Alligator mississippiensis: one gene and its partners. The main gene of each other region encodes a partner of the protein of the gene in region 2 in a complex. Links are inferred from orthologs where the notes say so. Each region holds a gene or a part of one and is shown on either strand. Other genes may lie near its edges. The genes, in order: MED26, MED23, MED19 and MED31.

The links.
Region 1: MED23 (region 2) and MED26 share a complex: the UniProt entries of both Homo sapiens proteins name them as parts of the mediator complex. The link is inferred for Alligator mississippiensis from reciprocal best matches to the Homo sapiens genes MED23 and MED26.
Region 3: MED23 (region 2) and MED19 share a complex: the UniProt entries of both Homo sapiens proteins name them as parts of the mediator complex. The link is inferred for Alligator mississippiensis from reciprocal best matches to the Homo sapiens genes MED23 and MED19.
Region 4: MED23 (region 2) and MED31 share a complex: the UniProt entries of both Homo sapiens proteins name them as parts of the mediator complex. The link is inferred for Alligator mississippiensis from reciprocal best matches to the Homo sapiens genes MED23 and MED31.

What each region holds. Positions count from the first base shown.
Region 1 is NC_081839.1:407,105-415,100, forward strand, and holds the start of MED26 (mediator of RNA polymerase II transcription subunit 26), read right to left. Parts: upstream 3,002-7,996; 5' UTR 2,775-3,001; coding exon 2,700-2,774; intron 1-2,699. Other genes in the region: SMIM7 (small integral membrane protein 7), read right to left, coding at 6,470-6,485, 6,661-6,751, 7,229-7,281, 7,379-7,420, 7,495-7,520; TMEM38A (trimeric intracellular cation channel type A), read left to right, coding at 7,779-7,902. UniProt on the Homo sapiens protein: Component of the Mediator complex, a coactivator involved in the regulated transcription of nearly all RNA polymerase II-dependent genes.
Region 2 is NC_081824.1:114,295,184-114,302,905, forward strand, and holds the start of MED23 (mediator of RNA polymerase II transcription subunit 23), read right to left. Parts: upstream 3,011-7,722; 5' UTR 2,825-3,010; coding exon 2,765-2,824; intron 1-2,764. UniProt on the Homo sapiens protein: Required for transcriptional activation subsequent to the assembly of the pre-initiation complex. Component of the Mediator complex, a coactivator involved in the regulated transcription of nearly all RNA polymerase II-dependent genes.
Region 3 is NC_081825.1:172,520,780-172,528,713, reverse strand, and holds MED19 (mediator of RNA polymerase II transcription subunit 19), read right to left. Parts: upstream 3,010-7,934; 5' UTR 2,941-3,009; coding exon 2,706-2,940; intron 2,290-2,705; coding exon 2,033-2,289; intron 1,899-2,032; coding exon 1,802-1,898; intron 1,662-1,801; coding exon 1,567-1,661; intron 530-1,566; coding exon 461-529; 3' UTR 131-460; downstream 1-130. Other genes in the region: TMX2 (thioredoxin-related transmembrane protein 2), read left to right, coding at 3,310-3,498, 4,331-4,391, 5,586-5,699, 6,632-6,708, 7,766-7,872. UniProt on the Homo sapiens protein: Component of the Mediator complex, a coactivator involved in the regulated transcription of nearly all RNA polymerase II-dependent genes.
Region 4 is NC_081837.1:9,414,273-9,422,240, forward strand, and holds the start of MED31 (mediator of RNA polymerase II transcription subunit 31), read right to left. Parts: upstream 3,008-7,968; 5' UTR 2,918-3,007; coding exon 2,908-2,917; intron 2,811-2,907; exon of another isoform or gene 2,728-2,810; intron 945-2,727; coding exon 867-944; intron 1-866. Other genes in the region: uncharacterized protein LOC132244834, read left to right, coding at 3,167-3,322, 3,854-4,039. UniProt on the Homo sapiens protein: Component of the Mediator complex, a coactivator involved in the regulated transcription of nearly all RNA polymerase II-dependent genes.

The DNA of each region.
Region 1 (7,996 bases), on a different chromosome or scaffold from region 2:
AATCCCCAAGTTCATACCTCCTGCCTTACTTATCTTCCATGTTTAAACTCAAGGAGAAATGGCAATATATATTTACCCACCAGAAACTAGCAAGTTTATTATGGACTTGACCCCTATGTAGCTGAAGAACAGGGAACTTAAACCTTAGATTTACAATAAATGTTTGCCAATCAAGGATTAATAAATCTGTTTTCATGGATATCACTACCCAACCTCAGAAAAACATGAAACACAGCATTATAAAAACAGGTGGGGAAGAGAAGGGTAAGGGATTCGGCTCAGTGGATGTCTGGTTTCTCAGTGCATCCTGCGCTAAAGAAAAATATCGCTACTTTTAGTAACAGAGGGCAACAGTGGGGAACCTCTTCTCTATAACATTTCACACAACATACAAGTTGCAGACACTTCTACAACACGTTACAACCAGAATGGAAAAGATCCCACCTACTTTTCTGTCCCCTATGTACCAATCACAGTAGCTGATCTACAAACATTTCAGTTAAATGAATGTTGACACCCGCTATTTGACTAGAGTCCTTACAGCATTTTTAGTAAAATGAGCCTAATTAAAAGGAATGGAGAACTTGATGTAGTGGGAAGGCCCCTGGATGAGCCAATGCTCGTCTGTATAATCTATTTCTTATATGCATCCTGGGGTGGGTGGGAAACAGGGGGAAATGTATATATATTTATACACAACATTTAGATCTCAGTATACTTCTCTGGGACTGGTGGAACAGGTTTCAGTGTTAAACTAAACGTGTATGTAAATGAAACACCTTGTTCCCAACCTAGTGAGTATAACGAGCGAAGCAAAAGTGTAAAAGCTGAAGTCCCCCACCAGACTTTCAGATAAGTGCACAGGCATGCATGCACATGTGTGTCCAGCTAGGATAACAGGTTAAAAAAAAGAAGAATATGCACAGAGAAGTCCTTAAAGCCATGACTCTAGTCATGTCTACACTGGAGTGAGTTTGCTGGTATCTATATATCAGCAAATCCTTCTAAATGGGGGTACAGCCTATAACCCAGGAAAGTTATTTTCCCAGGATAGTTCATACTAGCAGCTCCCCACACAAAACTGCTCCACAGGCAAGGGAATTTTTTTCTGGTATAGCTCACCTTTCAGTGGGATATCTGCCAATTAGGACAGTCCTCCTCCCTGCAACCCCCCAAATTATTCCGGCACAGCTGAATCATTCAATTAAAGTTAGGCCTTGGGGTCAGACTGATTTGATACACAAGAACATGAATGCGAATGACCGCTACTCATTTTTATTGTGATTAAACAACTCCTAGCAAATTAATCCTTCAAAACCTATGCTTTGTTAGAAAGCTTTTCTTTGCCAGGATTTTCTGATTATGAGCACCAATTAGCTCCAACAGTTAGAGAAACTGCTGCACTTCTTAGGTTCATACAGTCCAGAGAAAAGCAAGCTTCATTGTAATATCTCTTATTAAACCTACATTGTTGGAAGGGATGTTAGACAAGCGTTTGGGCACAAAAAGCCCTTCCCCAGTCCTCCGATGCCACTCTAAAGGTGCTCATAATTTACACCGAGATCCAGGGTTTTGAGGTAGTACTAACTTCTAAACTGAACTTTCTCCCTTATGAAAACCGTGCTGCAGGTATTTTATGTTCAACATCTACACCAACTGACAATTAGGTGAGACGCAAGGGTAAACCCTGCGTACACAGGGTTTCTTTGGGTTTTTTTAACCCATCGGAAATTCAGGCATGTTAGAGTTATTTTATTGCAGTTCATGTAAGATGAGAGGTGTATAACATTGCACTCGAGAACCACAGGTATCGGGCCGATTTTTCTCCAGCTTTCACGCGGCAGAATGACACGTGCGTAGCGGAGAGCCCCGAAGACGCCATTAGCCTTTGCTACGGCAATACGCGTTTGCGGTCTTCAAGGGCCCAGCACTCACGACCCTGGCAAGACTGAAGTGCCAGCCTCACGTGCCCTGCGGCAGGCAGGGCTCAAGCCTGCCCGTCCCAACGCCCCCACCGCGCGCGGGCCGTCGGAAACCACCTACGACGGAGGTCCTGAGCTGCGCCCTCGTTCGCAACCCCCCGAGCGGCGTCCCGGCTGGCGAGCTGAGCAGGAGGGCTGCCGCGCGCGGGAGCAGGAGCGCGCCTGTGGCAGAGACGGACGGCAGCGCTTAAAGCCCTCGAGTTACTTGGGGCAGAAACCCAAGAAGTAGTTTTCAGTTAAATCCAGTTACACGTAAAACACGCCGGCTTCGCTACGCTAATACCACATCCTCACACCGGGCGATAAGCCTCTTAGCGCCCTGCAGAAAGGATAAAGACCAAGCAGAGACCAGGGCTGCTCTCCTCTCCCCCGGGACGAGCGCAGCACCCCTCAGCCCCCATCTGCCCGCCTCCCCGGCTCCGCAGGGCGCAGCTCCGCCCGAGCGAGGCCGGGGCATGCCCGGGCCGCGCCGCTTCCCCGCTCGAGCCCGGCTCGGAGCCGCCGCAGGCCGCGCCGGAGCCTCGGCCTCGCGTAGGGCGCGCAGCCCGGCCCGGCGCCGCATGGCCGGCCACGGCTGCCGCCTCCCCGTGCAGCCGGCGGGGGCGCGGGCGGGGCGGGGCGGCGCGGGGGCCCGGCGGGACCCGGGCGGAGCCGGAGCACGGGCCGGCGCCCGGGCAGGCGCTTCCGGGCCGGGGCCGGCGCGCGGCCCGCACTCACGTTGCTCTGCGGGTCGATGGCCTGCAGCAGCCGGTCCCTGATCTGCTGCGGGGAGGGCGCCGGAGCCGCTGTCATTGCCTGGGCGAAGCGGGCGGCGCGGCCGGGGCGGGGGCGACGGGCCGGGCCGGGCCGGACCGGGCCGGGGCGGCGGCTCCTCACTCGCCGGCGGCGGCCTCCTCGGCGAGCCGGAGCCGGAGCCGCATGCTCGCCGCCGCCGGGCGGGCGCGGGGCGCGGGCCGGGCCAGGCCGCGCGGGGTCGGCGGGGCGGGCGGGGCCGGGCCGGGCCGGGGCGTCCGCGCCGCTCGGGGCCGAACTCAACTGTGGGCAGGAGCCAGCCCCGCGCAGGGCACCATGGGACACACCCCACGCCCGACGCCCTTACGCACGGCGCGCCTGTGACGTTGCGCTCCCGCGGCGGCGGGCAAAGCGGCCGCGCGCCCGGCGAGCCACTGCGCCTGCGCGGGGGACGGGGTGGAGCCAGTGCGTGCGCGGGGGGGCGGGGCGCCCTGGGCTCAGTTGTGGCCCCCCCGCGGGGGCGGGGCCACCCCTCGCCTCGTCTCGCCCCGCCCCGCCCCGCCCCCCGCGCACACGACGCGGCGCGGCGCTCCTGAGGCGGGGCGGGGCGGGGCGGGGCGGGGCCTGCTCCGCGCTGCCCGCCCGGCTCGGGCGCCGCATCAGCTCTCCGCCGTCAGCGCCCCGCGGGGGAGCACGTCCGCTGCCTCGAGCGCCGGGTGCCGCTGCTGCTGCCTCCGGGCCCGGGCCCGGGCCCAGGCCGAGGCCGGTCCCGTGCGTCCGCTGCGGCCCGCTCGAGCCCGGCCCGGCGCTGCGCCTGAGCGGGCGCCTTGGTGCGTGGCCCGAGGCCGGCCTGGCCGCCCCTGCGAGGCGATGCTGCTCCCTGGCAGCTCGCGCCCCCTCTGCGGCACGGCCGGGAAAAGCAGCGACCCGCTTCACAACTAGCGGCCGCTCAGCCCTTGGGCCCCGAGCAGCGCGCCTCCGCTGCAGTCGGTCTGCAAGGTGCAACTCGACCCTGCCTTCGGCTTGGCGCAGCCGCCGAGCTCTGCCCACGCGCGGCCGGATCCCGCCGTCGTCCTGGCCCCGACTCCGCGTCCGGCCTGAGCCACGCTCCGTCTGCACCGGGGCACGGCTCCCCCGGGTTGGCACCGCTCGCGTCGGATGCGGGGCGCCGGGCCCGGACGCACCCGTCACCCCCGCGGGGGAGTGACTGAGCAAGTGGGGTTGAAGCAGCTTATTCCACATCTTTACAGAGGGCGAATGCAGAGAGCTACGCCGTGGCACTGCCCTGGCTCCTCCCGCTGCCGGGACCTTGCCTTGCCTTGCCTTCCCTTCCCGCAGTAACCCCCCCCCCCCAGAGTACAAGAACTCTCCCCTTGGAGGAGGGGCATTTCTAGGCATGTGGAAGTGAATACTCAAATCCTTACTTACATCTTGTTTTAGAAAACGATTAAATACAGAAATAAAGGGTAAACAGTATCAACAGAAAGCATGGGGAAAGGGATAAAATACAGCACAAGAGAGATCAAAGTAGATAATAGACAAGGCGGGGCTCAGAGTTAGCCTAGCATTTCTACAAAGATCTTTTCCCATCAATCCTCCCAGGTAGATTATGCTGTGCCTTTGGCTTACAACGACCCTCCCAAGCGACATCAGCATTTCAGGTAATACGGGACAGCATCTCTTCGCAGACCTGAACGGCTGTGAGCACACAGCGCTTGTGCAGCGGCTGCATGCTTGCTCCTGCCTAGAACTGGACGCTTGACTGAACTGGAGGTACAATCCATTAAATCCCTCTCCAGTCCAGGAGCTAAAGTGCCTAGCGGGCAATGAGCTGCTCACAGAGGAGAGCCCGTGACTGAAGATGCTTGCTTAAAAAAAAGAAACATAGAAGTGGGGTCAGGTAATGTTTCCCCCACACCCACACCCTCCACCCCTTTCCTTCCCTATTTATTTTGTCAGCCCATAGTCAAAGTTGCTGGCTGAGGCACACCAATATCAACTTAATAAAAATAAATGCTAGGGGAAGCCAGTCATAATTACAGGACAGTCTACCGCAAACAAAGTTCTTCTAGGATGAAGCTGACTCGTGCTCAGAGTAGGAACAAGACAGCACCCGCTTTAACCCTCAGATAAACGTGTTCTTACTGCTTAGTTACACGTTCCCTGCCATAGCTGAGCTGTTTTTCTTGAAGGCTCTAGCACTGGTCCAAAGATTCAATTACACTCAATCATCAACACTGATTGAAGAAGCTTGATTGCATTACATGTATTGACTGTTTTAGATGTATGAAGCTGAGGATGCGCTTTGGCATTTTGCGCACCACTTGATAAAACTAGTTGCCATCTAATTAACTGATATTTAAATTGCAGTCTCTATAAGTCCTCAATTACATTTATCACTTTTTCACAAAAAGAAACATGAACAATAGAACTGGTATCAAAACAGTGCAATAACAGCTCAAAAGCAGGCTGACAAACACCACTCTTCAAATTTAAACCAAATGTTTACTTGAGTACTTTATTACCAAACAACGTGGAAAGCCAAAAGAAAATGCAAGGGAAAAAAAAAGATTGAAAACATGTATTTTTTTATTTCTTTTCAATCTGTTACGTCATCAGAACACTTAGAAGTTGGTTTAAGTATTTGTTACCTCTGTTGATGATGAATTCTCTTTTTTGACCCACAAGTTTCTTGGAACGTCTCCTGAGCCTCCAGGCCCCTTTTATAGTAAATGGAACAGCACAGAGCACGCGTTCTTCCTCATTTCAAATATAAGGATGTGTGTTACCAACTTTAGAAGACTACTTGATTCTGGTGGCCCCTGGACTACTAACTTCATGTTCAAAAAGTCTGCAGGTAGTGTCTTTGGAACAGTTTACAGACAACTATGGTCTTTGATGTAACAAACAGTATTTTTCTCCTCTGCAGTTATTTCTTCATTAGGTAGCCCCCCAAGCACCCAAATGTTGAGGTCATTGCTGCGGCCAAAAGAAAACTAAGCAGCAAATGGCTGGTCTAACTATTAAGTTGCACTGTAACAGCTTGCTTCACTTAAAAAAAGAAAACAGCCTTTTATAAATGTCAAAATTTGTCTTTTGGTCAAGAGAAATGTCTCTTTAAATGCTGCATATATACACCATGTTATATACTGGCAGACTGAAATCAAAGGCAGGAAAAGACCAGGAGTTTCAAATGAGTGAAGAAAAAATCTAAAAAAAAAGGCAAACAATATTATAATACTAGATAGCGAGCAGGCATCATGCTGTTGGCCACCAGTGCCGTTTGCAGAGCTGTGCTTTGAGAATCAAGGCGGCGGCCCAGACTACTTGAGACAACGAGCATGCAGGCCGGCAAGCAAGAAGTGCGCGTGTGGTCCAAGGTGTTTTTTCTTAGTTCAGAGTTGATGGGACCCTGTTCTGAGACATGAAGAGTCCAAAGAGTCAGTAACATCTAGGTGAGGCGAGTGTCCAGGAGGGTCAGTTTGGGTCTACCTAGCCATGAAAGTGCCCCTCCGCCCCTTGACAGTATGCTATGTTGTTCTTATAACCACGTCCTTTCACAATTTGCTGAAAAGCACGAGCGTGTCCTGTCCCTGTAACATCTAGGTACTCTCATGAAAGAAAGAAAACACAGAATTCCACACTGGTATTTTGAAAACATTGCAACATTTTACTTTAAGCGGTCACGTTTCCAGCCGAAAGCCTCTTCCCAGCCACAACAGAACACCTGCGCCCGGTACACGCTTCCATGCCGTTCAAGAGCCAAACAACCTAGTGGATGAAACACAGACGAAGCAGGTGACAGCTGGCTACAACTGCGCAACGGGGCTGGCCTGGCTCAGGTTTTGGGTGTTTTAACTACAAATACACTAGGAAAAGTCTCACCGGGTGACAAAGGTAAGTAGCTTTGCCCCTTTAAAGCAACACGTGCAGCAGTTCTACTTACACAATCATGCAGAACATCATAAAGATGTTCCAGAGCGCAATGAAGATTCGGAAGTATCTGAGACTCAGCAGGAATTCCCGGACGTTGTCCCCTGGAAAGCAAGAGGAGAGGAGAAGCGTTTACTTGAATCGCGGGGCACCCCCACGCCGGCGCCTGACGCGCTCCCGGCGCTGACTCAACGCCGTCCTCGCCTTCCAGGGGAAAGACCACCGAGAAAAAGAAGCGAGAGAAGAACGCAGGTAGGGAGGGGCTCGGCGACGCGAGCGCGAGGGCAAGCCGGCGCACCGGCCAGACCCGTGACCAGCGGCTCCCCGTCACCATCCCGGCAGGCAAGAGGAGCCTTTGTGGCGCAAGCACGAGCCACGCGATGGGCCCGGGGCGGGCTGGTCCGGAAGGAAAGGAAGGCGTGTCCCACCCAGCGGGGCCGGGGCCGGGGCCGGGGCGGCAGCGTCTGACCGCGCTGTCGGTCCGGCCGTGGGCTGCGGGCGGGCGGGCGGGGCGGGGCGGGGCGGAGCTGCAGTGCGCGCGCAGCAGCGCGAGCGGGCGCCTGGGCGCGGGCCGCCCTTACCTGTGCTCGGCTCCCGGGCCTCCTCCCCGAAGCCCTGAGTGTCCTTCTTCTTCCTGGCGGGACGGGACACAGGGTTGCACCCCCGCCCGCCCGCCCGCCAGCCAGCGCGCGCTGCACCCGGCACGCCACCCCACCCCACCCCGCACTCACAGCCGGAAGTTGAGCACGGCGCCCGCGTTCATCAGCAGCGTCCTGCGGGGGGAGACAGCGCGTCAGCCCGGCCCGCCCCCCGCCATCCCCCCCCCGCCTGCACGGCCGGCCGGTACCCGCAAAGCAGCAGGTCCCCGATCATGGTGGCGGCCGCGGCACCGGAACCGGAAGTACCCCCGCCCTGCCTGCCAATCCGCGCTCGCCCGCCAGGTGGCGCCGCCCCCCGCCCACGAGACGCTGCAGGCGGCCCCGCCCCATAGCGCGCGGGGCGGGGCGGGGCGGGGCCCCCAGGGGGCGGGGCGGCACCGCCTCCTCGTGCCCTCGGGGCTGCGGGCCGGCGGAGCGCGCGTCGCAGAGCAGCGCAGAGCCGGGCCGGGCCGGGGGGCGCTCCGCCGCGGCCATGGAGCTGTCGGGGCTCCTGCAGCCGGGCGAGCTGGCGGCCGCCTTCGCGAGCCTGCCCGTCTTCCCGCTCTTCGACCTGGGCTACTTCATCGTGTCCGTGCTCTACCTCAAGTACGAGCCAGGTCAGTCCGCGCCGCGAGGCTCCTGCCTCTGTAAGGCCGGCGCGGGGCCTTCCGAAATAGCCCTGCCCCCCGGGACCGCCCCGCCGCGCACCGG
Region 2 (7,722 bases):
TGTGGGCTGCCCAGTGTGTGCTCCAGCCAGACAGCAGCAGCCAACACTGCCTGGCGCGGCAAGCCCAGAGCCGGCACAGAGCCCAGGCTGGCAGTGGGGCTGGGTTACAAGTTGGTGCTGAGTGTAGGGAAAAGCGGCCCCTTGGTCGCCCAGTGCCCGGCGCCCTGTGCTAGAGCCGCTTCCAGCCCACATGGGGCTGCCTGTGCCTGCTCCAGATAGCCTCATGTGGGCTGCAAGCGCCTGCAGCAGGGAGGGCTAGCCATGGGGTGGACAAGCGGTCGCTTTTCCCCATGCTCAGCACCAGCTTCTTCCCTGCCGGCAAGCAGGGGGTTGGGGCTGTGCGCTGCCTGCTGCCTATACCGCGGGGCTGGGGGGCATTGGGAGTGAGCAGGTACAGGAGCCAGCTTCTTCCCTGCCGGCGAGCAGGAGGTTGGGGCTGTGCGCTGCCCGCCTCCTGTACCGCGGGGAGCGCACAGAGTGAGTGGGAGTGAGCAGATGCAGGAGCCAGTGGAAGCACAGGGCCCACATGGGTGTCCCAGGGCCAGTGTCGGTGGGACCCAGAGCAGGGTGGCAGAAGCGCAGGGTCTCAGTCAGCAGGGGCTCTATGGAGCCGGGCCAACTCCCCACTCTCTCTGCTGGTGAAGCCCAGCCTGGTTCCACAGACTCCTGCCAGCCTGTGCCTCGCTTTGGGCCTCACCAGTGCTGGCCCTGGGACATTGGTCCCAAGACAGTGACCAGGGGGCAGGGCACCTATCAAGGGGCAGGGCTACTCATGCAGCCCTTGACAGCCTGCCAAAACTGGCTAAGTGGCCCTCTGCGCGAAATAGTTGCCCAACCCTGCTCTAGATCTTGGCCAACTATTTTTGCTTCTGCCAGAATTCAACCTTTTCTTTTTGATCTAATGTCCAAAGCTCCTGCGTGGGCTCTTGTGGTCTCATGCCTTCACTAATATAATCCCCACCTGTCTGGTCTTGGTACCAGCCACTCTCCTTAAAACTAGTAAAAACTGCCAGTGGGCTCGTTCTCCTGGCTTGCGGCTGCAAAGGAATCTCTTTACTTTTTACATTCTTTACTGGCACCCCTTGCTCCCCTCCAGCTCTGAACACCAAAACCTTAATCTCAGTACAAATTTAACTTCAATCCACATGATCCTGAGCTGAGGAAAGCTTGTTTTCTCTCTAGATAAAAGTGTGTGTGTGTATGTTTATACATATATGCATACACATATACACACATTTACATATCACACACACACAAATCTTGTGTGTCTACATATGTTTGTGTACACACACACACACACACGTATATACTTGAGACCACTGCTCCTTATTTATTCTGTCATCTGCCCCCACTGAGAAAAGTCTCTCCATCCTCTCTGTAACTGCCTTTCAGCCATATGAAATACATATAGCTTAAAAAAATAAGAGGATGGATGGAGCTGGACCATTCTCAGTAGGGCCAGATGGCAGAACAAGGAGCAATGGTCTCAAGTTGCAGCAAGGGAAGTTTAGGTTAGATTATAAGGAAAAACACTCTCATGAGGAGGCTAGCAAGGCACTGGAGCAGGCAACCCAGAGAGGCACCTTCCAACCCTAATTTTCTATGATTTTATGACTGCATGAAAACAGAGAGAAAGTACAAGCATTCCTATAATCCAAGTTCCCTCACCACTTGGGTTAGGAAAGCTTATGCATTTTCTGGACAGAGATGCATATTATCTGGGGACAGAGTTGTACCGCTACCCAGCACATCCATAGGTGGCAGATAGAGGAATGACCTTCAGGAAATGTTAGCTGCGAAATAAGCAGGGGTAACTGGTGAACAAGCAGTCATGCAGACCACGCAGTGGCAGCACCCCTAGGATGCTTTGAAAGTACTTCCAGTACCCTGAAACCTTACAATGACAACAAGAGACAGAAAAATGGGGCTGGCAGAAGCAGCTTGCGGTGGAGCAAATCGAGAATCTGGAGCCACCTGCACTGCATGGAAACCTGTGCCAGAGCTGCAGCAGAGTCTGTGGATCCCAGGTCGGCCTTGTCAGGCAGCTTTGGACACACAGATAAGAGAGCTGTGGAAGACAATCATCCTCCACTGTGAAGGAGTACCGAAGACACAGACACATATGTGCATGTGTGTGTGCATGCAGCTATGTGTGCACGTGCACACGCATATGCACATGTATGTGTGCATCCATGGGTGTTCATATGTGCGCATACGTGTGCGTATACATGTATGACGCGTGCCGCCTTGAGGCCCAACGACTCTATACTGAGGCAGAACGGCAACAGTGGAGGAGGAAGACGGAGACCAACCTGGGGCTGCGAATCCCACTGCCCTGTGCAGCAACATGCCCCCGTTGCGGAAGAACCTGTGCACTCAGGATGGGGTTCCTCACTCACCTGAGGACCCAGCAAGCCCCACAGACGTCATCCTCGACTCCGAGGGACCGCTGTCTCCGATGCGTGTATGCATATGCCTAAGTGTGCGTGCGTGTATGTGCACACGGGTTTGTACGTGTGTGCGCGCATGCACATGTGTGTATGGGTTTGCATGTGTGCGCGCACACGTGTATGTATATGTACACGTGTACATGCATGCATGAACATGTGTACACATACATGCACACGCGCATCTCTGTCTACACGGATAAGGCCCCGTCTCAGTGCGGGCCCCTCCCCGCGCACAGCCAAGGCCCGACCCCGGGGCGCACAGCCCCGCCCCGCCCCGCGCGAGGGGCCGCGCTGCCGGCCCGGGCCACACTCACCACCACCTCCTCGAAGATACTCTGCAGCTGCGTCTCCATCGGCGCCATCGGGACCGCCATGGCCCGGCGCGGCGGAAGGGCCGGCGCCGAAAGCGGCCCGGCGGCAGCAGCGCCCGCGCCGGTGGTTCCGCAAGAGGCGCCTGCCCACCCGCCCGCTCCGCTAGGGGCGCCTTCTCGGCCTAGCTGCGCGCGCAGGCTCAAGCTGTGCAGCCCGAAGCTGCCGCCGCCGGGGGAGGCGGTCCGGCTTTGTGCGCGGTTAATGAACACGAGGAAGCCGAGAGCTGGCCCCTCCCGGGCACTGACCGCAGCGTGAAGAGGCCGAGCACTGCTAGCTTCGAGTCCTCCAGGGTGGCCCCTCCCCCAGACTTTTATCAGCCTGTCCTATGGGGGCAAGAAGCATTTTGACTCCTCTCTCCCAGGAAGATCAGCTGCTCTCGGGTCCTGGGGTGCTCCGAGATCCCTGGGGTGCAGGGTGGGGCCCCTTACCCCCAATTCACGAGACAAACCCAGGGATTTCAAGCAGGAATCCCTAGCGGGGAGATGTTTCTGCCTGGACGTGGTGGGGCGCAGATGGGGCCTGCACGAACAGGACAGCGTGGGTCCCATGGCAGCCAGAACCTTCTTGAAGAGGCAGCGAAGGGGCTGCAACCTGGCACACTCATGCTGGATAGGACATAGGGGAGAACGTACAGAGTTTTATATAGAGAAAATACAGAGTTTTGTGGGACATTTACCCCATGTAAGATGTTGCAGAAACAGGAAACGATCTCTCTCACACGGATCACTGAGCTGTGTCCAAACAAACTGTAGGACATGGGACCAAATCATCTTGCTTTGGCAAGAGGCTAATACTTTGCAGACTTTGCTGCTCCACTTACTAGCCATGCTACATGAAGGATTTTGGGATGGAACTGCAATGCTGCAAGCTGGAAATGTTATTGACATCTTGGGTGTGAATGAAGACAGATGGAGAGAAAGCGCTTTGGATAGCAAGATGATCCTAATCTAGCCTTACCAACCTTTTGGAACTACAGGCTAAAACAGGTGGGCAATTATTTGGGCCTGTTAGGCACAGAGGGAGTTTTTGTGAGCTGTTGCAGGCCAGGTCAATACCTCCCCTTGCCCTGCCACAGCTCACCAAAACTCCCTAAGTGGCTCCTGAACCGCTGGGCAGTTGGGATGGGGCAGGGAGCAGGACTGGCAGGCAAGGCCAGGGTCATGAGGCAAAATTGCAGGTGGGTGACGGTGTGGGACCAGGGCCAGAGCAGAGCCATGATCCGCTGCCTACAAGGCCCTGAGATGGGCACAAGTTCTGCAGGTAGGGGCATGTGGGGAGCAAATGCGGCTCTGCCCTGGCCCAGCCCTGTGCTGTCACTGCCCCAAGATCCTGGACCTGGCCCCAGATGCAGCCCCATCCCATCTGCCTGTCTTCGTGCCCTGCCCAGGCAGGTCCTGACCATTCTCCATAGAGACCCTGAGGTCACTGGGCAGTGACAGTGCAGGACTGGGGCCCAGGGTAGAGCTGTGATTTGCTGCCTGCACACCCCTGCGATGGGTTCCAGTTCCAGGCACTTGCAAGGAGTAGATCATGACTCTGCCCTGGCCCGAGCCCAGTGTTGTCACTGCCCAGCGATCCTGGGGTCTACGTGAAGACTATGTGGGACCCTCATGTGCAGAGAGTGTGGCCAGGTGGATGGGATGGGGCTGCGAGCAGGCGACTCCTGCCGAATTGTTCTACTTCTTTGTATGTACCCAGCCAAGAGAACCATTTTAACAAGTGAACCACTGTTTTGTCTGTTCCCAGATGCCACCCTTACAATGGTAAGGTATAGGCCACCCATAACAAGGGCTTCCTATACCCCCGGGGTACTAAAACCTGAGCTACCTCTTCTGCCCCCATCCCTTTATCAATTCAATAAAGAATGTTGTCTCTTACCTCAAACTGCATTTTCTGATCTGTGAGCTCGGACTGTATCACCTCTCTGTTTCAGCTAGCCACATTGCTTCCACAGACATGTCAAAATGCATCTTCCTGCTGTTGCTCTGCCTGGAATTGTCCTTGACCAATCAGGCCTTGTATATCCAGTGACTCTTCCATACTTTCTCTTAAAGTTTCTTTGTCTCCCTTTTGTCCTGTAAATCCCTCATCTGGTCAGCTGGAGCATCAGGGCCTTTGCAGCATCCCAGGTTCTATGGTTACTTCCTGCATAACCTTGATATATGGCCTATTCCTGCCTAGTATCAATGGATTTGGTAGGTTTTTAGCTAAACCTACCAGCATGTCATACGTTTTTCCAAGGACCATTAAAGGAATACTTTGCCTCTTATAGGTTGTAGCATCTCCATGCAAACATATCATTGTTATCGCCTCACAGGATTCTCCTACCCCAGGCGGAACTAACTCAGTTCACACCATGGTGTGGGTGCAACCCATATAAACTATTGCAAGGAATGTCAGGTCCCCAGATCTGCTTGCCGGATGATAGGAGGCTGGTGCTGCTGGCTGGGGCCAGCGGTAGCACTGATCTTCCCGGTGCTGGATGCGGGCTGTGCCCAGCGCCAGTCCCAGGCGGCAGCACCAGCCTCCTGTCATCTGGCAGGCACATCGGGGGCCTGTACCCCCCGGGAAGAGTCCAGCATGGCCCTGCAGCTCTCCCAGGGGTGCGGGCAAGCCCCCAATCTGCCTGCCGGATGACAGGAGGCTGGTGCTGCCAGCTGGGACCAGCGCTGGGTGCAGCCTGTGCTAGAAGATCAGTGCTGCTGCTGGCCCCAGCCAGCAGCCCCAGCCTCCTGTTGGGGCCTGCACCTCCGGGAGGAGTCTGACACAGCCCTGCAGCCTTCTGGAGGTTTGGGCGGGCCCCCAGTCTGCCTGCCAGATGACAGGAGGCTGCCTCTGCCGGATGGGACCGGCACTGAAGCCAAGTAAGCCTGGCTTCAAAACTCGAAACGTTTAAAAAATTTCAAAACATTTTGAGTTCCCTTGTCTTGTTTTGAAGCTGTTTTGAAGGCTTTTGTTTCATTTTGATTTTGCTGTTTCGAGCTCGAAAGGCATTGAAACAGCTTCAAAACGAAACACTGGGCAAAATTTCGCACAGCCCTAGTAATCACCTGCTTTGTCTCTTGACAGAGCTCTATATGGCATCTATGCCTTGCCTATTACTAGGGAACCCAGCTGATAGGCCCACTTGACTATCCCATCCTGCTGCTGTGGCCATCCTCTGGAATGCTTCAAGGTATGCCTCTGGGTCCTCCCCAGGAATCATCCAAGTCATGTGGAATTCCTCCATTCTTCCTCTCGGTGCTCTACCAGTTTCCATCATTTTCTCATTCAGAGCCAGCTTTTGGGCAAATAACAGCTTATGGGCTTCATTTTCTTCTGTCCTAGGTTTCATTAGCTCATCTATTTGGTGTTGCTGTCCCTGCAAAATTTGCAGGATGGCCTTGTCGTGGAAACACACACAGCATACTTTTGGGTCAGATCAGCAGAAGCTTTTATTCAAATGAAACTGCAGCTGTAGGGGGGAACCCCAAAGTGGCATGGATTTCCCAAGCACTTGGAATGGGTTTCCCCCCAAGAGCAAAATCAGGAAGCTTATATACTTTTTAACAGTTCACATGATCATATAGTGGAGTTTGCTAGAAAAAGCAGCTACAAACACTAGCTCATTACTGCTTTGCTGTTATCAGGATGGGAATTATGGGGGAGACAAGGTTAATTCACGAAGCGAGAACTAACACTCCCTTTTTGCCCCTGGAAATCAGAGTTTGTACATACTTTTTTCTCCTCTCTTTGAGGCTGCGGTGAGCAAAGCAGTTGCAGAGGAGTTACAAAGAACAAACACTTTCCCTTATCTGCTCTACTATGCAGAACCAGCAATTCCCCACAAAGCAGTTATGTCATCTTATAACCCGTATGATCAAAGTTTAAGGCATTTATTTTTTTTCTGATTCCACAGTCCCCCCTTTGAGACTATTTAGTCTCACTTTAGCCTTAAACTTTTATTTTCATGAGTCCCTCTATTTCATTATGCAGCCTTTTATGTTTTCTTTTAATTTGCTTACACTTTTGTAACACCATTATTCTAGACTCTGTCGTGTGTTTTTTTGCCTTGCTGAAGCTTCTCCTGCTGGCTTTTACGCAGCAGAGGATCAGTTGCACTAAGACATAAAACATTGTCAGAACTATCAAGACAAACAATATTCCATACAGGATTTTCTTGCCAAGGGTTCTTAAATTTGGGAACCAGGAGGTTAACCAAGACCACATTCCTTTCATATCTCATTGGTTAATTTGGCGAAGTTCGACAACTTCTTTTTCAATAATTTCAGATTGATTTTCAAGGGCACTAGAGGCATTAGGTGTATATACACAGCATTCAGACTTTATCAGGGCACATACTTTTCTTTTACTGGCTAGTATATAGTTTAGAGCAAGTTTAATTTGCAAAGTCATTTGTCTCATTTCTTTGATTTCTTTACTTATTTCACGGAACCCAATGGCAGTGGCATTGGCTATTTTTTTAAAGGATACTGCAACCTTCTGTATTTCAAACATAGCTAAGCCTGCCCCCTAATTGGGGAACATTATACCCCCAAATCTTTGGTTTTCAGTAATTTTGCGAACATTGTGAATTTTTCTTTTTGGCAAATGTGATTTAATTATGAAAGCAGGGTATGCGGCAGAAACATAACACGTTCCTTCCCACCCGGAAGGAAGATTTTTATAAGCTTTGTTTTCACTTACAAAATAATGACCAGCCAGTGCAGTGAAGGTGGTGCTACATTGAGGTTTCATCATCCATTGTGAATAGCACCCAGAAAATTTACTCTGGGGGGAGTAATTAGATATCCAGGAACCATTAGAAAGCCAAGCACCATTTACTTTAAATTTTACTTCATATTTGCTAATTCCTACTGCTACATGTGATTTATTACAGGTCCAACAAAATTTTTCAGGA
Region 3 (7,934 bases), on a different chromosome or scaffold from region 2:
TGCTCCACTGCAGGGTTCCCTAGCAGTCTCAGCCAGGCAGGTGTGTTGCCTGACCCTGCTGACATCTCCTAGTCCTGCAGATCAGATAACAGCAGCATGGCTCAGACCACTGTCAGACATGGCCCTCAGCCTCTTCCCAAGCAGAGATTTAATTAAAACAGGAATAAAAAGGAGAAAGCACCTGACTTAGTCAGGAGTATTTAAAAAAAAAAGGAAAAAGTTGGGCCTGGCTCTGGGTCAGGGCAGCAGGTTGTGTACCATCTCCATTTCAGTCCATGTTCCCAGCCGGCTTGTGTCTGGACAGTCTGTGCCCCCAGGCAAGGCAGCCCAAGTGCCCTCCAATAAGCCGCTTTGGGAGAAGAGTTCAGTCAGTGTTGCCTCCAGGACTGTTCTCCCAGTCACCCACATCTGCAGCAGGCATCTTCCCAGAGCCACTTTAGCACTGGGGTCGTGCTTGCCCTCACCGGAGGCTGCTGCTGCTGCTGGCTTGCGAGCTCCCCACTCCTGGGTGCTCTGGGCTGTGACGGTTCTAGGAAGAACAGACAAGACACAGACACCCTTCCCTGAGAATCCACAGTGAGACTGTACAGGTTACCAGTGGACTATGATAGCTTAGCCCTGAAGCTGGAGGAAGATTTTTTTCCTTTAAAAACAAACAGTCATAATTTCATAGTTGGTAGGGTCAGAAGGGACCCAAGCAGTCTTCTCATTAAAAACTGGGATTATAACTCCAGTTCTCCCCATGAAGTTCACTTTCATGGAAAACATTTGAGGGTTGGGGAGGGAGATGTTTAAAAATGCTGCTACAGGGCCCTATAGGAGACCATGGAAGTACAGCCCATGTTCCTATCCTCCTATAAGACCTCTGGTAACACTACAATTTCCAGGATGCACTACTGCTTCCTCACAGCAGGAGACCAGGGTGCATGGAAAATAAAGAATAAAATGGAAATATGAGGCAGCCAGAACTACCAATTCTTCTCTCCACCACTGCCCACAGCTGTATTTTCTAATTCAGTTTGTTGGGTTTTTGTGCTTCCATTTGTGCAGAGGAATGAGGAAGGGGAAGGAGCTTATTTTCAGCCAGATCCAGATGGGAAACACTGTTTCTTGCTGGAGCCTCCTCAGCCTTTAAGTCAGACCCCTACAAAGGGGCTTTATGCCAGGACGGAGACTCCCGAGCAAAACAGGTCACAGGGAAGGGGCTAGACTAACTGTCCCCAACATTTTTAGGCTCAAGGCACCCTTCCACAACTGCAAATTGAGCAACACCTCTTTCCAAAAGCCAACGTGTTTATTTTAGTGGCTTGCAAAGAAAGAGGAGCAGCTGGCAGTGAGTGTCGGGGCAGGAGCAAAAGAAGGCAGAGAAGTAGTTAGAAGAGCTCATACTCATCTCCTCTCTCCCAGTGGCACCCTGTGAAAGGTTGTCACAACATCCTGGTTGAGAATCACTAGGCTAGACAGATTTGCAGCTCTGTCCCACCCCAGCACGGCAAGCACAGCTGGGCACGGACATGTGGAGTGGAGCCAGTGCACCCCCAGCCCCTCTCTTAGTTTGCCACTCACCTTTTTTTTCTTCTTCTCTTTCTTCTTCCTCTTCCGCTCTGGATCCTCCTCCTTTTTCTTCTTCTTCTTCTTGTGGTCAGAGTCTGAAGGGGTTTCTGCAAGAAGAGCCACAGTTTGAGGTTTGACAGGCTAGTTACCTGTCCAGGCAGGGCCTGACCTTTTCAGAAGACAACTGGGGTGGATGGGCTGCTGCTTTCTCACACAGGCAGGTGGGGTTGTGAGCTGCAGCCCTTACCTGGGGGCACAGGATCCTGAGTGCGGCTTTGCTTGTGTTTGTGTTTGTTTTTCTTCTTGGGTGGCTGGATGTGCATCAGGCGGCACTGCTCTGGCAACTGAGGAGACACCAGGACCGGGTCAGCTCGGGGAGTTCCCGCTCCCACGGGGCGGGGCAAGACAAGCCCACATCGCTCTCCCAGCCCTGCTCCCCGGCCACATGCCCACCCCTGCCCAGGGTAGGGCGGCTCACCGGGCCAGCGTGCAGGCGGAAGCCCGTGAGCATGGTGCCAGTAAGGGGGGTGAAGGAGCTGCTGCAGATGGGTGGCTTCTCGATGAGGGAGCGCAGGCTGCTGTTGTCGTGGGAGCCAGGCAGGTCGATCATACCCGGCAGGTCGGGCAGGAAGTTGCTCAGCTTCTCCTTCACCTTCTTGCCACAGAACTTGTTGTAGGCGTGCTCCAGGTTGTAGTGCGTGATCAGGTTGGTGCTGCCCGTCAGCTCCGTGTTGCCTGTGGGCCGAGGGTGCCCGTCGCAGCCGAGGCGAGGCCTGACCGGCCCATGCCACCCACCACAGGCAGGCGGCGGCCGCCGCCGGGGGGAACCGGCAACAGACCCGAGTCCGTAGGAACCGCCCCCTCCCAAGGAAGGACCCCAGTGCCGCGGCGGCCTTTCATCGGGTAAGAGGCTGTTTCCCCACCCACACGCCCTCCTCCTCGGTCACTGGCTGTCAGTCACAAAAAATACAGAACGCCCGCCCTCTCCCTCACGCAAGGAGCGCCCCGCCCCGTGGACGAAACCGCCGCTAGATGCGGTGATAGGCCGGCCGGCCTGCCCAGCCAACCATCGGAGCACCCGGATTGGCTGCTGCGCCTCAGCCCGCCTGACGGCCCCGGATTGGCTACCTGCCGCGAGCCCCGCCCTCTACCTGGGAGCTCGCGCATCAGATAGAAGGGGCCACTGGAGGCCGCGGTCTTGCGAGAGTGGTCTTCTCCGCTTTGCGGCGCCGCGGCGGTGGGGGGAGGCGCGCTCCCGGGCCCTGCTGGCTTCCCCGGCCCGAAGCCCAGCGCGGCGGCCGCAGCGGGAGGCTGCGGCTCAGCTCCGCCGAAGAGCGCCGAGAAATTCTCCATCATCCCAGCCTGCCCTGCGCGGTCTCCTCCCATTGGCCTAGCGGCTTGGGGTTCTGCCCATTGGAGTGGTGGGAGGCCCCGTACCCCTCCCTGACTGGATAAAAACTGCCCAAGCTCCGCCTCGCGCCTGCTCGCTGGATGAGCCTGCGCCCTGCCCATCGCGTGGGGCGTGTCGCTGCGCTCGGCTCCACCCCCTGCTGGGGTCCTACTGGTGCTTCTCCGGCGCGTTTTGATGGCGCCACCCGTGGCCCAGCACCCGATTCGCCCCCTGACAGCGAAGTCCCGCCGCCCCGAGCCCGCGCTACCCAATAGGAGGAGGGATGGCAGGTGACTGGCGGCGGCGCTGGCCAATGCGTGGCTCAGTGCCCCGCCCCGCCCCCCGGCGCCCCAGCGGAGGTGAAGATGGCGGTGGTGGCGCCGCTGCTGGCGCTGTTGTGCTCCGTGCCTGGCCTGTGCCGCTGGCTGGCTCGGCCCTACTATCTGCTCTCGGCGCTGCTCTCCACCGCCTTCCTGCTGGCTCGCAAGGTGCCGCCGCTATGCCAGGGGCTGCCCACGCAGCGCGAGGACGGCAACGCCTGCGACTTCGACTGGGTGCGTGCGGGGCGCGGGCAGGCCCCGCTCAGCCCGGGCCGTGCCGTGCCGTGCCGCGCCTCGCGGCGGGGTGTCCGCCTTGCCCCGGAGCAGACCGGGGCTGCGGGCGGCTGCGTGCCACAATGGGGCAGGTGCCGGCGGGCTGAGACCTGCACGCCAGATAAGGCCGGAGCCAGGTGTGATCGCTGCCTCCAGTGGACGCCGGTGGCATGTGCTGCTGGCACCAGGTCGTGTGCGTGTCAGCCTGTGCTGGGTCCCTCCAGGCGGAGCTTGTCCCGGTTGATGCTTGCGGCTGGCCCCCTTTTCCGTGCAGGGCGGTCTGCCCAGGACCCCTGGGTTGCATTGGTTCAGCCTGATGCCCCTCCTTCCTCCTCTCCCTTCACCTGGGATGGTTCAGCCTAGGAAAGCGATTCCCAATCTGTGGTACAGGTACCACCAGTGGTATGCAGCCAACCTGTCCATGGCACCTGTTACCAGATTTATTATCATTGCTTTGTAGGACAGAAATCTGCCGGTGGTACTGAAATTTGCTGGGGGTACTTAAGGTTGTATCATTTTAAATTGGTGGCATGCAATCTGTCAGTTTGGGAACTGCTGGCCTAGATGCCTACAGTCCTGTGCTGTACTGGTTCACACCAGAACTCCCCTCCATCCTGTGCGAGTGCTCTCTGCATGTCGTATATCCTGTGCTGTGTTAGTTTGGCCCAGTACACCACCTCCGTGCCCTCCACAGGTGCCCCCAGGCCTGTGCTCTGTTGGTTCATCCCTGCATTTGCCCCCAGCCCCCTGCTGCCATGTCCCAGCCCCATGCTCACTCCACAGTCTCTTTCAGCGGGAGGTGGAGATCCTGATGTTCCTCAGTGCCATTGTGATGATGAAGAACCGCAGATCCAGTGAGTGTCTCCTGTTTCCCTCCTTGCAGCTCCTCTTCCTGGGGCAGGAGCCTCCTTGGCATGGGGCTGACTCCCTGTGCTGCCCTTGGGGTGGGCGATTTCCTCTGGATGCCTGTGGGATGGCTGGGTCTCCACTTCATGCCCCCAGGACTGGTCTGTGGAACTGCTTGGGGAAGGAGGGCGGGCAGGCCCAGAGCATGTGGTCAGAGGGCACAGGAGAAGTTGTGGAGGAATTGTGTGGGGGGGGGGGGTCAGTTTGTGGTAGGGATGTGAAAGGTTAAATGATTAATTGTTTAACCAATAAGCCCAGTGATAACTAATTGGCTTACTGGTTATTGTTTAGCACAGGGCCGGGTACAATCTGGCAGGGAAGGGAAGCTTCCACTGCCCCAGCAGGAAGGGCAGGTGAGGGGAACTAGTATCCTTAGCCCATGAGGCTAACCAGAAAAACAGCAGGTAGTCTAATAACTCAACTCGTCAATTAAGCAATTACCTCTTCCTTCACAGGGGACTTCATGTGGGTTATTCATAGATTCGTAGATGTTAGGATCGGAAGGGACCTCAGTAGATCATCGAGTCCGACCCCCTGCATAAGCAGGAAAGAGTGCTGGGTCTAGATGACCCCAGCTAGATACTCATCTAACCTCCTCTTGAAGACCCCCAGGGTAGGGGACAGCACCACCTCCCTTGGGAGCCCGTTGTCTAGCTGTGGGCACAGCTCCCAGCAGCAGTTGTGTTACAATTGTTATGTTATCGATTAACCCAGGGGCAGGCAATTATCTTGGGCGTAGGGCTGCTTGCTGAGTTTGGGCAAGCTATTGATGGCTGCATGACAGGAAGCTGGGGCAGATAAATATTAATTTTCTAAATTTTTTAGGGACCCCATGGGCCAGATAGAATGGCCTGGCAGGCCGCATTTTGCCCACCCCTGTGTTAACCATTTAACCAATATAATTAGAGAAGGTTAAATGGATAGGGTTTTTTGTTTGTTTTGTTTTAAAGGATGTTTATATCCCTAAACTATGGGGTGAGGTTTAGGGAGGTGATGGGACAATAAATATTGGGTCTGAATGGAAAGGAACTTGGCTAATGGGTGCAATACTACTGTTTCTCCTTCAAGCTTCTTGGCTTTCTGGTATCCAGGGATGAGTGCCTGGCCCTCCTGCTGACCCCTGCCTTTCTGTCTCCCCCCAGTCACCATCGAGCAGCACATAGGGAACATCTTCATGTTCAGCAAAGTGGCCAATGCAATCCTCTTCTTCCGGCTGGACATCCGCATGGGGCTGCTGTACCTCACGCTGTGCATAGGTGAGACCCAGGTCCCATTGGGGCTTCTGAAATGCCTTCTTTGAGAGAAGTCTGAACTGTGGCCTCTGGACAAAGTCCCTCTGCCTGTCAGCCCATTCCTTGGTTGTTGCTGTGGTGGCTGGTTCAGTAGGGCTGGGCTGTCCCAGGGATGCAGATGGGATGGGGAGTTAAAATGTCTGGGTCCAGCTCCCGGCCATTATGGGGCTGTCCTGCCTCTCCTCTCTGCAGGGGCAGAGAGGGCATGTGACAGCATTGCTTTAGGTTTAAGTGTCATCCGTGATCCATCTTTGGACCAAACATCATCCTCTTGATGAAGTCTTCCCGCTTTTATTCTGTCTGCATTGGAGCAGTGGCTGCCCCAGAGGGCATCCACTCCTTCCATATCAGCCCTTTGCCCCTATCAGTGGACTTGCTTGCTAATATTGTCTGAATTATAGTGGCACCAACTGGCTCCAGCCCAAGATAGTGCCTATTGCACCAGGCACTGCACATGCAGCATAACCGCTGCCAGCCTGCCCATTATGCAGAATTCAGGACGTAGGGTGGCAGCTCTTTCTGGTGCATAGCAAAGTGGCTAGGACTTGGGACCTCTTTTCTTCTGTTCCTTGCTGTGCCACTGTCCCTGCTTGGTGAGCTTGGGCACAGCTCCTCCACCATCTGTGCCTCAGTTTCCCTATCATGAAATGTGTTTTGATTCCAGTTGATGTTAAGTGCCAGGTGGAGGTGCTGCCACTTGGCTCAAAAGCAGGATGCTTTTAAACCAGCCTCACCAGGGTTGGCTGCTGCCACTTCCCCAATTCGTGCTCCAGTATGACAGGTCCAGCACCCTCCAGCTTTGAACAGTGCAAAGACTGAGCAAATTGCTCCTGGGGTGGAGGCTTGTACAGAGTTGGCCCATTCATGATGTGTATGCCATGTGTATGCCTTTCTAGTGTTTCTGATGACCTGCAAGCCCCCCCTCTACATGGGCCCTGAGTACATCAAGTATTTCAGTGACAAAACCATTGATGTGAGTATTTCCTGCTTCCCTGCCTCCCCCTGTTCTCCAAGCCATGAAGTGCGTATAGGCTGGGTTGGCTTGCAGTAGATCTGTACTGCTGTTTAGAGGGTCACCGTTATCTACCCCTACCACATAAGTTGTTCGTCTCTGTTTACATTGCTTTGTCATATACACGCCAAGCACAAAAGGAGAGACGGGTAGTGGGCAGCATGCCAGTGGAGCTCTTCTAGGAATTGCCTGTCCACCACCTGTCTCTCCTGTGCTTGGCTATGATGATAGGCAGTAAAGCTAGGAAGTAACACACAGAACATCTGGAAGCTGGGTGCTAGCAGACAAGATCCTGCAATACTGTGGTGAATGCTTTGGGGGATGGGAGCCATGCTTAGGAGAGCTTCTAGGGGTCAACAGGCCTGCTGCCAAGGATGAGTTTAAGGGTGTTTAACTGTAGGGTGCATTGGCAACACATAGGGGGTGCACACAGGTGCACAAGGACCCCCTATCTAGGCGGTGCAGCCCCTGTGAAAGGCGCTGCCAACACTGCCGGTGCCACCTGTGGGCAGTTGCTGCTTTCTCCTCCCCTCCCATCGACACTGCCAGTGGCATCTGCAGATGGTCCCTGATCGCCGCTGGCTGCCACTGATGCTGCCAGTGCTGCCTGTGGGTGGTTGCCGACCATGGTCGGCGCTTGCCCACCCCCTTGCCGCTGACAGTGCCACAGCTGCCTGCGGGAGCTCACCGCCTACTGCTACCACACTCCCACTGCTGACAGTGCCACCATTGCCTGCAGAAACTCACCATACGCGGGCCACACCCCCTGCCCCGACCTCCAAGGGCACGTGGTGTTCATGGTAGGCTAGAAGGGTAGGAATAGCAGGGGCAGGGCTGAGTAACAGGGCAGACATGCCCTTAGAGACCAGCTTTGAGCCTGTGATTGCCCCCTTTTCAGCCTATGCAGCAGGCTGCGCTATAACACAAGGGAGGGAGACCCACCAGGGTGCTGGCCTGGTAGAGTTGGGGCCAGACCTGGAGCATTGGTCTCCAACTGATCTGTTGCTGCATCTTATAGGAGGAGCTGGAGCGGGACAAGCGGGTGACATGGGTTGTGGAGTTCTTTGCCAACTGGTCTAGTGAGTGCCAGTCGTTTGCACCCATCTTTGCTGACCTCTCTCTCAAGTGAGTGACGTCCAACTGGGGATTTGGTGAGTTGGGGCTGGTGGGGGGGGTGGAGGGGGGAA
Region 4 (7,968 bases), on a different chromosome or scaffold from region 2:
CCCTTTTGGTGTGTGTCATTTACCCAGTAATAAAAGCATATGCAATGTTTTAAAACTAGGAAATATTGATTGTAAAATAATAGAACACTGGTAGAGAGCTTCAGGGTGGGTACAGTACCTGCACCTGAAACTATTTTTAAATAAAAATTTCAAGTTGACACTATCCCCATGGATACATTTAAAATGTCTCCTTGATATATTCCCATGGCTTTTAGCAATTTACTTAGATATTCATATTGGCATCTATTACCAAGGCACCTGCATGCAGTTCATAAATTAAAGTAATTGTTACACAAAATAGAACATTGCCTATTAATAAAAAACCCATTCCTACTTGGCCAAAGGAATTTTATGAATTAAGCAAACTTCATATTATCACTAGGTTAAATAATTCAGCCCCCTTTTTTTGTATTGCTCCCCTTCCCTCTATTATGCATTCCAAGAATAGGAAATACAGTTAACAACAGTAAAAGCCCTGTTATCCAGCACAAGTGGGGAATGGGGAGGTGCTGGGTATCTAAAAATTCTGGTTACCTGAGGCCAACAGTTTTTGGCCAGGGGGGTGGGGTAAGGGTGGCAGCAGCACAGGGTGGACATTTTGGCCAGACGCAATGCAGGGAGGAGGTGGTGGTGGCAGCACAGGGTGGATGTTTCGACCAAACACAAAGTGCTGGCAGCACTGGGTGGTGGCAGTAGCAGTGGCGGCCACCACGTGCGAGCTTCCCTCCCCACCCCAGCACCGTGTCTGGCTGGCTGGCCGAAATTCCGGTTAACAGAGTATTCTGGTTAGTAAAATGATGGATAACAGGACTTCTACTGTAATATTAATTTTTCACATACCCACAGTTGAAATTTCAACTACTTACAGTTGAGGTAATTTGGGTTTGCCAGACACTGGACAAATTCTAACTCTAGCTGGAAGCGAAGTCGATTTCCAGTATCATCTGAAACAGAGGAAGTAGATCAGAAAAAGGAAGCTCAATCTACAAAGACCATAACTAGGAAAAAGCTATTAAGGATCTGATGTCAGATTATGTTGCTCAACTATCTGAGACAGTAAGAAACAAGCAATGTATTCCCCAAAAAGATTCAGATTCGTTTTGAAAAATGGCTCTTGCCAGTTTTTAAAAGTTGTGTCAAAAGAATCGTGTGTGGCCTTGAAATTGAAAGGGAAAAATGACTACTGACTGACCACAATGCAGAACCAGGGGCTAATGAAAGCTGCATTTAGTTTTCCCTTTGAATGTTAGCAATTTTTTACCTCTTACCTGCATGACATGAAAACCTCACTCTCTAATTTTGCACCAAGACTTTAACAAGAGCTTGAGACATGGGTTACTCTGGAAAGAGACCAGTTTTGATTTAAAGCAGTGATTCTCATCTCAAGGGGGGATGACTCTTTGAAGGGTGACAATGAGATGTGAGGAGATGAGTAGATAAACTCAGACTAAAGACTCAGCCACTCCCCCACCCCCAATGCCATGTCCCTCTGCAGGGAGATAAGACCTGAAATAAATTAGTTTTTGAAGTGGGGTGCAGTGCAATTCACAGAAGTTATGAAAGGGTACCTTGAGTCTAGAAAGGTTGAAAATCACCGATTTAAAGACCTCAGCCAATAGGGAACCTTTATGTTAACTATAGCAACAATTAATTAATAAAGGGTACACTTTACTACGAGTTTAATTTACCTAGCTTTGCCTGACAAAACACTAGGTCTCTTTCTGCCGGACTGACACAGACCACCATCAAATTAGCTCTTAACCTTCTCCAAGATAAGCTAAACAAATTGAGTAGGGCTGCACTGATAAAGATTTTTTTGGCTGATACCAACGGCTGATTATTAACCAGCCATATCGGCCGATACCAACCTGATACTGTCAGGAAGTCGGGGAGGGGGGTCAGGGGGGCAGATTAAGGTCTCCACAGTGAGGGAAGGAGTGGGGCAGGGGCAGGGGCTGACCAGCCAGGACAGTGAATGCAACCTTGGGAGTGGGGTGGAGCCACAGACGCCTCATCGGGGGGGGGGGGGGGGGATGTGGCCCCCTGGATTTGTGTGCACGGTGAGGGCAGGCTCTGGAGGCCAGGGGCTGCACCAGCCTCTTCGGAGGGGCACTGCACTTGGGGTGGGTGGGGGTGGGGTGAGAAGCAGCAATACAGGGAGGGGTGGGCTACAGCCACCCCAAAATCCACATAGCCACCCCCTCCCCAGCACTGCTGATGCCCACCCCGCAGCCCCATCTTGAGTCAGAAAACCAAGGGTAGCCTTGAACATCACAGACTAACCAAAGCATCTATACACACAGAGCAAAGCAGACACAGCACTGGCTTTTGGAAGCTGAGGCTCATTTCACAGCACCTGGCACGTGTGTGTGTCTATCTGTATGTGTGTATCGATCTGTACATGGGGGGGGTCTGTATATAGTAGGGGTATCTGTATGTAGGGGAGGGGGGGTGTATCTATCTGTATGTAGGGGGGTGTGGGGCTGGAAGTCGGGGGGTGTATCTGTGTGTGTGTGTGTGTGTGTACGAAGCATACACCTATATTTGGGGATGCGCACGCCTGCGTGTAGCTATAAATAGGGGTGCACGGGCCGTGTGCATCCATATAGGGATGCACGCCTGTGCGCACACTCACACACCGCCCCCCCAGCACAAGCCGTTGCAGGCCGAGGCCCCCCCGGGCGGGCCGGCCGCCCTGGATCCACTTCTGCCCGCGAGGGCCAAACCCCGCCCGCCCGCTCCCCGGGACCCTCCAGGGCTCCCGCCACAGCAGCGTAAAAGCAAGGCCGGGACCCCGCTCCCGCAGCCAGGTAGGGCCGTGCAGCAGCAGCAGCCACCGGCGGCATCGGAATAGGGGTTGTGGTTGTGGTTGTGGTTGGGGCGGGAGCGACAGAGCCCGACCCTCACCTGTCTCCATGACGACCCCAGCGGATCGGGCCCCGCGGATACAAGATGGCGGCGCCCCGCCCCACCCGGAAGTCGCTCGCCGGCCCGCCCGCGATGCATGGCGGGAGCCGCCGCGCCGGCGCAGACGTGGCCTCGCACGGTTTCCCGGGTAACAGGGCCCCGCTCCGCCCCTAGGAGCGCGCCGCGGGGCTCGCCCGGCCCGTGACGTCACTCGCGCTCTGTTATGACGTCCCTCTTATCCCTAGCTGAATCCTTCCCAATGGCAGCGATGAGGGGGTTACTAGTGTGTTTCACCGCGGTGGGAGCGGCGCGTGCTTTGCAAGCCAACGCGGTTTTTAAAACTTCCAAAACAACCATCCTTTGTAAAAACTGTTTGTCGTTGTTGAAGGGTTTCCCGTCCCGAGAGAAACCCGTGGTATGCGGGAGGCAATGTCCTTTCCCCCTTATAGCGTCCTTTCCCCCTTACCCCAGGGAAAGATCAAGCGTGAGGCCACGAAATGAGTCAGACGCGCCGCAGTAAAGCAGACGGCAGAAAGCTGGACTTTGGGGTTGCGATCCGGGGGGTGAGAAACACGCCGGCAGCACAGTTTCAGCGATCAAAGTTCAGCTTTATTTCAACAGCCTCTCTGTGCACACCGTGGACTTGACTTGCATGCTTTCCAATGGGCTTGCCAAACATTTGAGACATTTTCTGTCAAAAAAACCCCAAAAAAACAACCCCATAGCCAGGCAAAACATTTGTTTCACCGTTACAACTTACAGGGGCAGATTTTGATATTATATATTTTCTGAAGAAACATAACAAATACCGTGTGATCACGTCTATCCCTCGTGACCGATGAGAAGGGTTAAGGTTCTGCCCCGTGTTTACTCGTATCAAAACGTACCAGGTGACCCAGTATCTGCTGAATAAACCAAGAGATTTTAGTTAGCTTTTTCTTTCCAGCTGTTTAAAGCTGCAAGGACGATGGCAGAAACATTTCTGCAAAAGGTGGGTCGTGTAAGCGATCCCAAAGAAATGAGGAGCTTAGCCACCGAGTGGGTCCATGAATCATTTCCAGAAGTCGAAACCGTTTCCACAGAGACGTTACAAAGTTGGATAGAAAACAACCCAGAGGAATTGCTCATTCTGGTAAGTGATCCATTGCATTGCCTAAAAGCAACTTGTCTGCAATTAAAAACAACATGCATTGGTGTCCTGGTCACTCTTCTTCATTTTAAGATGTCAGCGTGTGTGCGTGTGCATGTGTGTGTGTGTTTAAGACAAAGTTCTTTGGGTAGATGCAACATCTTTTATTAGACCAACTAAATACTTGGGAAAATTTGCAAGTTTTCAGGTACAAACAGCCTTCTTCAGGCATAGGGCGGATCTGCTGGTGTTGTGTGCGCTCTCCTGGGTAGAACAGAAGCCAACATGCAAAACGCAGGTCTGTGCAATGCAAATTCATGGCAGTGAGTATCCGACGGGGGGTGGGGGAGGGGGGGGGAATGGTGTCAAAAACACAAATACTCAGCAAACTCTCCCGGTGCCTGAAAAAGGGCATGTGCGCCCAAAAGCTTGCAAGGAATAATTTTTCCAGTTATTGAGTTGGTCGAATAAAAGATATCATATTTACCCAAAGAACCTCATCTGTGTCCTTAGACCAACACCGCTACAACCAACACCCCCAAAACGTGTGTTTAACAAATTTTGCATAACCTCATTGTCCATGTAGAATTTTTGTACTTTACAACTATTCTCCAACTATTTAGGTTGGTCTAATAAAAGATATCAGATTCACCCAAGGAACCTTGTCTGCCTATGTCCTTAGACCAACACGGCTACAACATACACCCGTGTACTTTACGTCAGCATTTTGCATTGGGATTCTTTGAGAAAACAAGTCTCTTACATAAAGGTATTTTAGGGTGTTTACTACCATAGAAAAGCAGCACCTACTTAACCTCATTTCTGGTATATGTCAGTGGCCGCTATGTGTGAGACTACACTTAGATTTTTCACATTGTTTTACCACAGAAGCAGCATCAGTGCTAGATTAAGTGGTGGGATAGCCTGGGTGTGATCATTTCTGCATTTAAATTGCCACTAATACTTCTAGCATTGTGGGCACTGGCAAAACACCACTTTTTGTAACATCTGGATTTTTCTTGGAGATCTCACAGCCCAGATCCCACCCAGCCCAAACTTAGTATCTGAGATTTAATGATGCATAGTATCAGCAGATTGTTTTCCAGGAAAAAAGTAGAGTTACAAAGGGTATATATTCAGTCCCTGGATGGAAACTGAGGCCAGATAAGGTGACCTATATCTTTGGATTTATGGGATCAGGGTTCTAGGCCCAGTTTCCCAGACAGATGTGTTTGTAGATAGATGAAAGATTTATCTAGTATTTGCAAGACATCAATTTATTACAAGCTGATGCTGCACCAACCATGGTTGACAGCGTCCAGTTTGGACGTAAGAGGAGAGAAAGGGTGGGATCTCAAGTAGCTGTAAATCCCTGTTTAAAAGCAGCCAGGTCCTCCAGCCTGTTCCTAAATGAACGTGAACGGTGAAGGTCAACCAGTCTCTGCAGCGAATGCTGTATTCCTCAGAGCTTTGTCATAGCCAGACCATTAATACATGAAATTCTCTGAAAGAGCAGAATGAAGCTGCACAGTTGCACCAGCATCCTGCACAGGAGCCCAGCTTCTGAGGTTGCACACTTATTCCAAAAGTTACAGTTCTGCCTACTATTGCCATGCATGTTCTTCATGTCTGGGCAAAAAATCTACCTCCATGGTATAATGCTGTCACGCTACTTTGATTTCATGAGTCCCACTGTCATCATATTGGATGCCTCCACAGCAACAAAGCTATATACAGACTCACCTAGAACCTGTAACTGATATCACATTGCTAATTTTGTATGTTAAAATATGTTAAGTGTCTTAGCTAGCAATTTTCTATAATCTCATCTATTTCTATCTAACATGGATTTTTTTCTTCCTCCTGGGAATTGGATTATGAAAGTGTCCAAAAATGACTTGTTCTTAGCTTTTTTTAATATAATAGAGTTGCTTTTTTCAGATGAGGTTTCAGTGGTCGTGGAATACTACCATTATCACATAGAAAAGTACGAAGTCACTCCCCGGTAAACACAGACTCCGGGCTAAAAGCAGAGATCAGACAGATCCCACGTGTCAGCTTTTCTATTCTGAAATGTGATTCCTCTCCCAGGAATGACTTCAGAGAAGAAGACCCTTCAGATGGGTTGGTCAGAGGAATGAAATTACCATGTAGTTTTGCCCAGATTGAGTCATGCATCTCAATTTTGGGCTATCAAAGCTGGGAACAAATCAAAAAGTCACAGGAAAAGAACAAAGGTTACATGTTCTGGGAAAAGATTTTGAAATAAAAATCAGTGTAACTATATAGGTATGAGAGGCCTGAACGTGCGACTGTGAACCAGGAATTTTAAGTGCTGACATGGAAACTCCATGTGACTTTAAAAGATAAATTAAACTCAGTTTTTCCATCTACATACATACCCTATATCAGTCTTATCATTTGAAATCCAGTGCCTCAGTTGTTGCTCATGCCAGATCAATGGAAGTATATGTGTAAGTAGAGGCTGCAGACCTGGGTGCTTCAAACCCTTCGAAGGTGCTAAATACTGTTTGCTGTGAATTTTTGGTCCTAGAGTGCCTTCTCTGTGCCACGTATTTAACAAGCAGGTAGAAAGCTAAGTTCAGTGCTCTATAGAAATTAAAACCTGTAGAAGTCTAAATTGCATTATAGCAAGGACACATAGCTCTCGTATGTAATTGCCACAGCACCAAGTGGCAACAAAACTTGAGTTCCTCCCAGGTCAATATAACTCTTCTGTTTAGTGATATGCAAAGACATAGCAAGAGATCTTGCTGAATCCCACAGGTGAAATCCAACCCTGACTGAAGTCCACGGAAGCTTTGCTATAGACTGGAGCAGGGCCTGTTTCAGTTACCATGTATGAGCTCAGGCTAATCCATGCAGAACATATTTAGTTAAGTTCTTATACGTGATATAAGTTATTATATGAATAAATACATTCTATTTTTGAGGTCAAGGGACTGACAGGTAACATACATTTTAAAAGCCTATCCTGTGATATCTTTTGCTAAAACCATCTTCATCTGGAGCTTGTTAGACCCAGTTCTGAGGAAGCTTCATCACATCTGGTTGTCCAAAAGACAGGGATTTTGTGGCTTTTTTTTCAAACACAGGGACATGCGCTCATATAACTGATACTTTCCAATTTCAGAAAACAAAGGGGAATGAGAAGTGATTCTGAGATTAAAGATGCTGCATTTTTTAAAGTAGGGTCCTAAGATATCTTAGGTTTTCTTTTAATGAGTTATAAATTGATTGTTCCCTCCATCTTGTTGAAAACAACAGAAACAGCATTCCCTAATGCTTATTCATCCCAAAGTCATTTCTCAGCATGTTTTTTTATGAAATAGGGACAGAAATCACTGCCTTCCAGCTTAATAAAAGCAGACTGTAAGACCACTCTGCTGTCTTTCATAGTGAATACTTACTGACAAGTTTCATTTTCTAGTGAGAATTCTATAAAACTTGTTCTGGGTGTTTTGTGTTTTCCAGCCTGCCCTTATATTCACCAAGTTCACAGAGAGTGTTACAAAGAATAGATCAGACTCTACCAGCTTTGTCCATGATGCCCCTACTTTGAAATATGAAGCATGATATTTAATCTCAGAATCACTTCTCATTCCCCTTAGTTTTCTGAAATTGGAAAGTCCCAGTTATATGAGCGCATGATCCTGTGTTTGAAAAAAAAAGGCACAAAATCCCTGTCTTTTCGACAACAAGACTTGAAGCTTCCTCAGAGCTGGGTCTGATAAGCTCCAGATGAAGATTGTTTTAGCAAAAGCTATCACAGGATGGGCTTTTGAAATGCATGTTACCTGCCAGTTCCTTGACCTCAAAAATAGAACTCAAGTGAACAGTTAAGCCTTTAATTAAATATGCTCTAACAATCGTGTCAGTCAGTGATAACTATGATCTTGCTTCTATTGAGT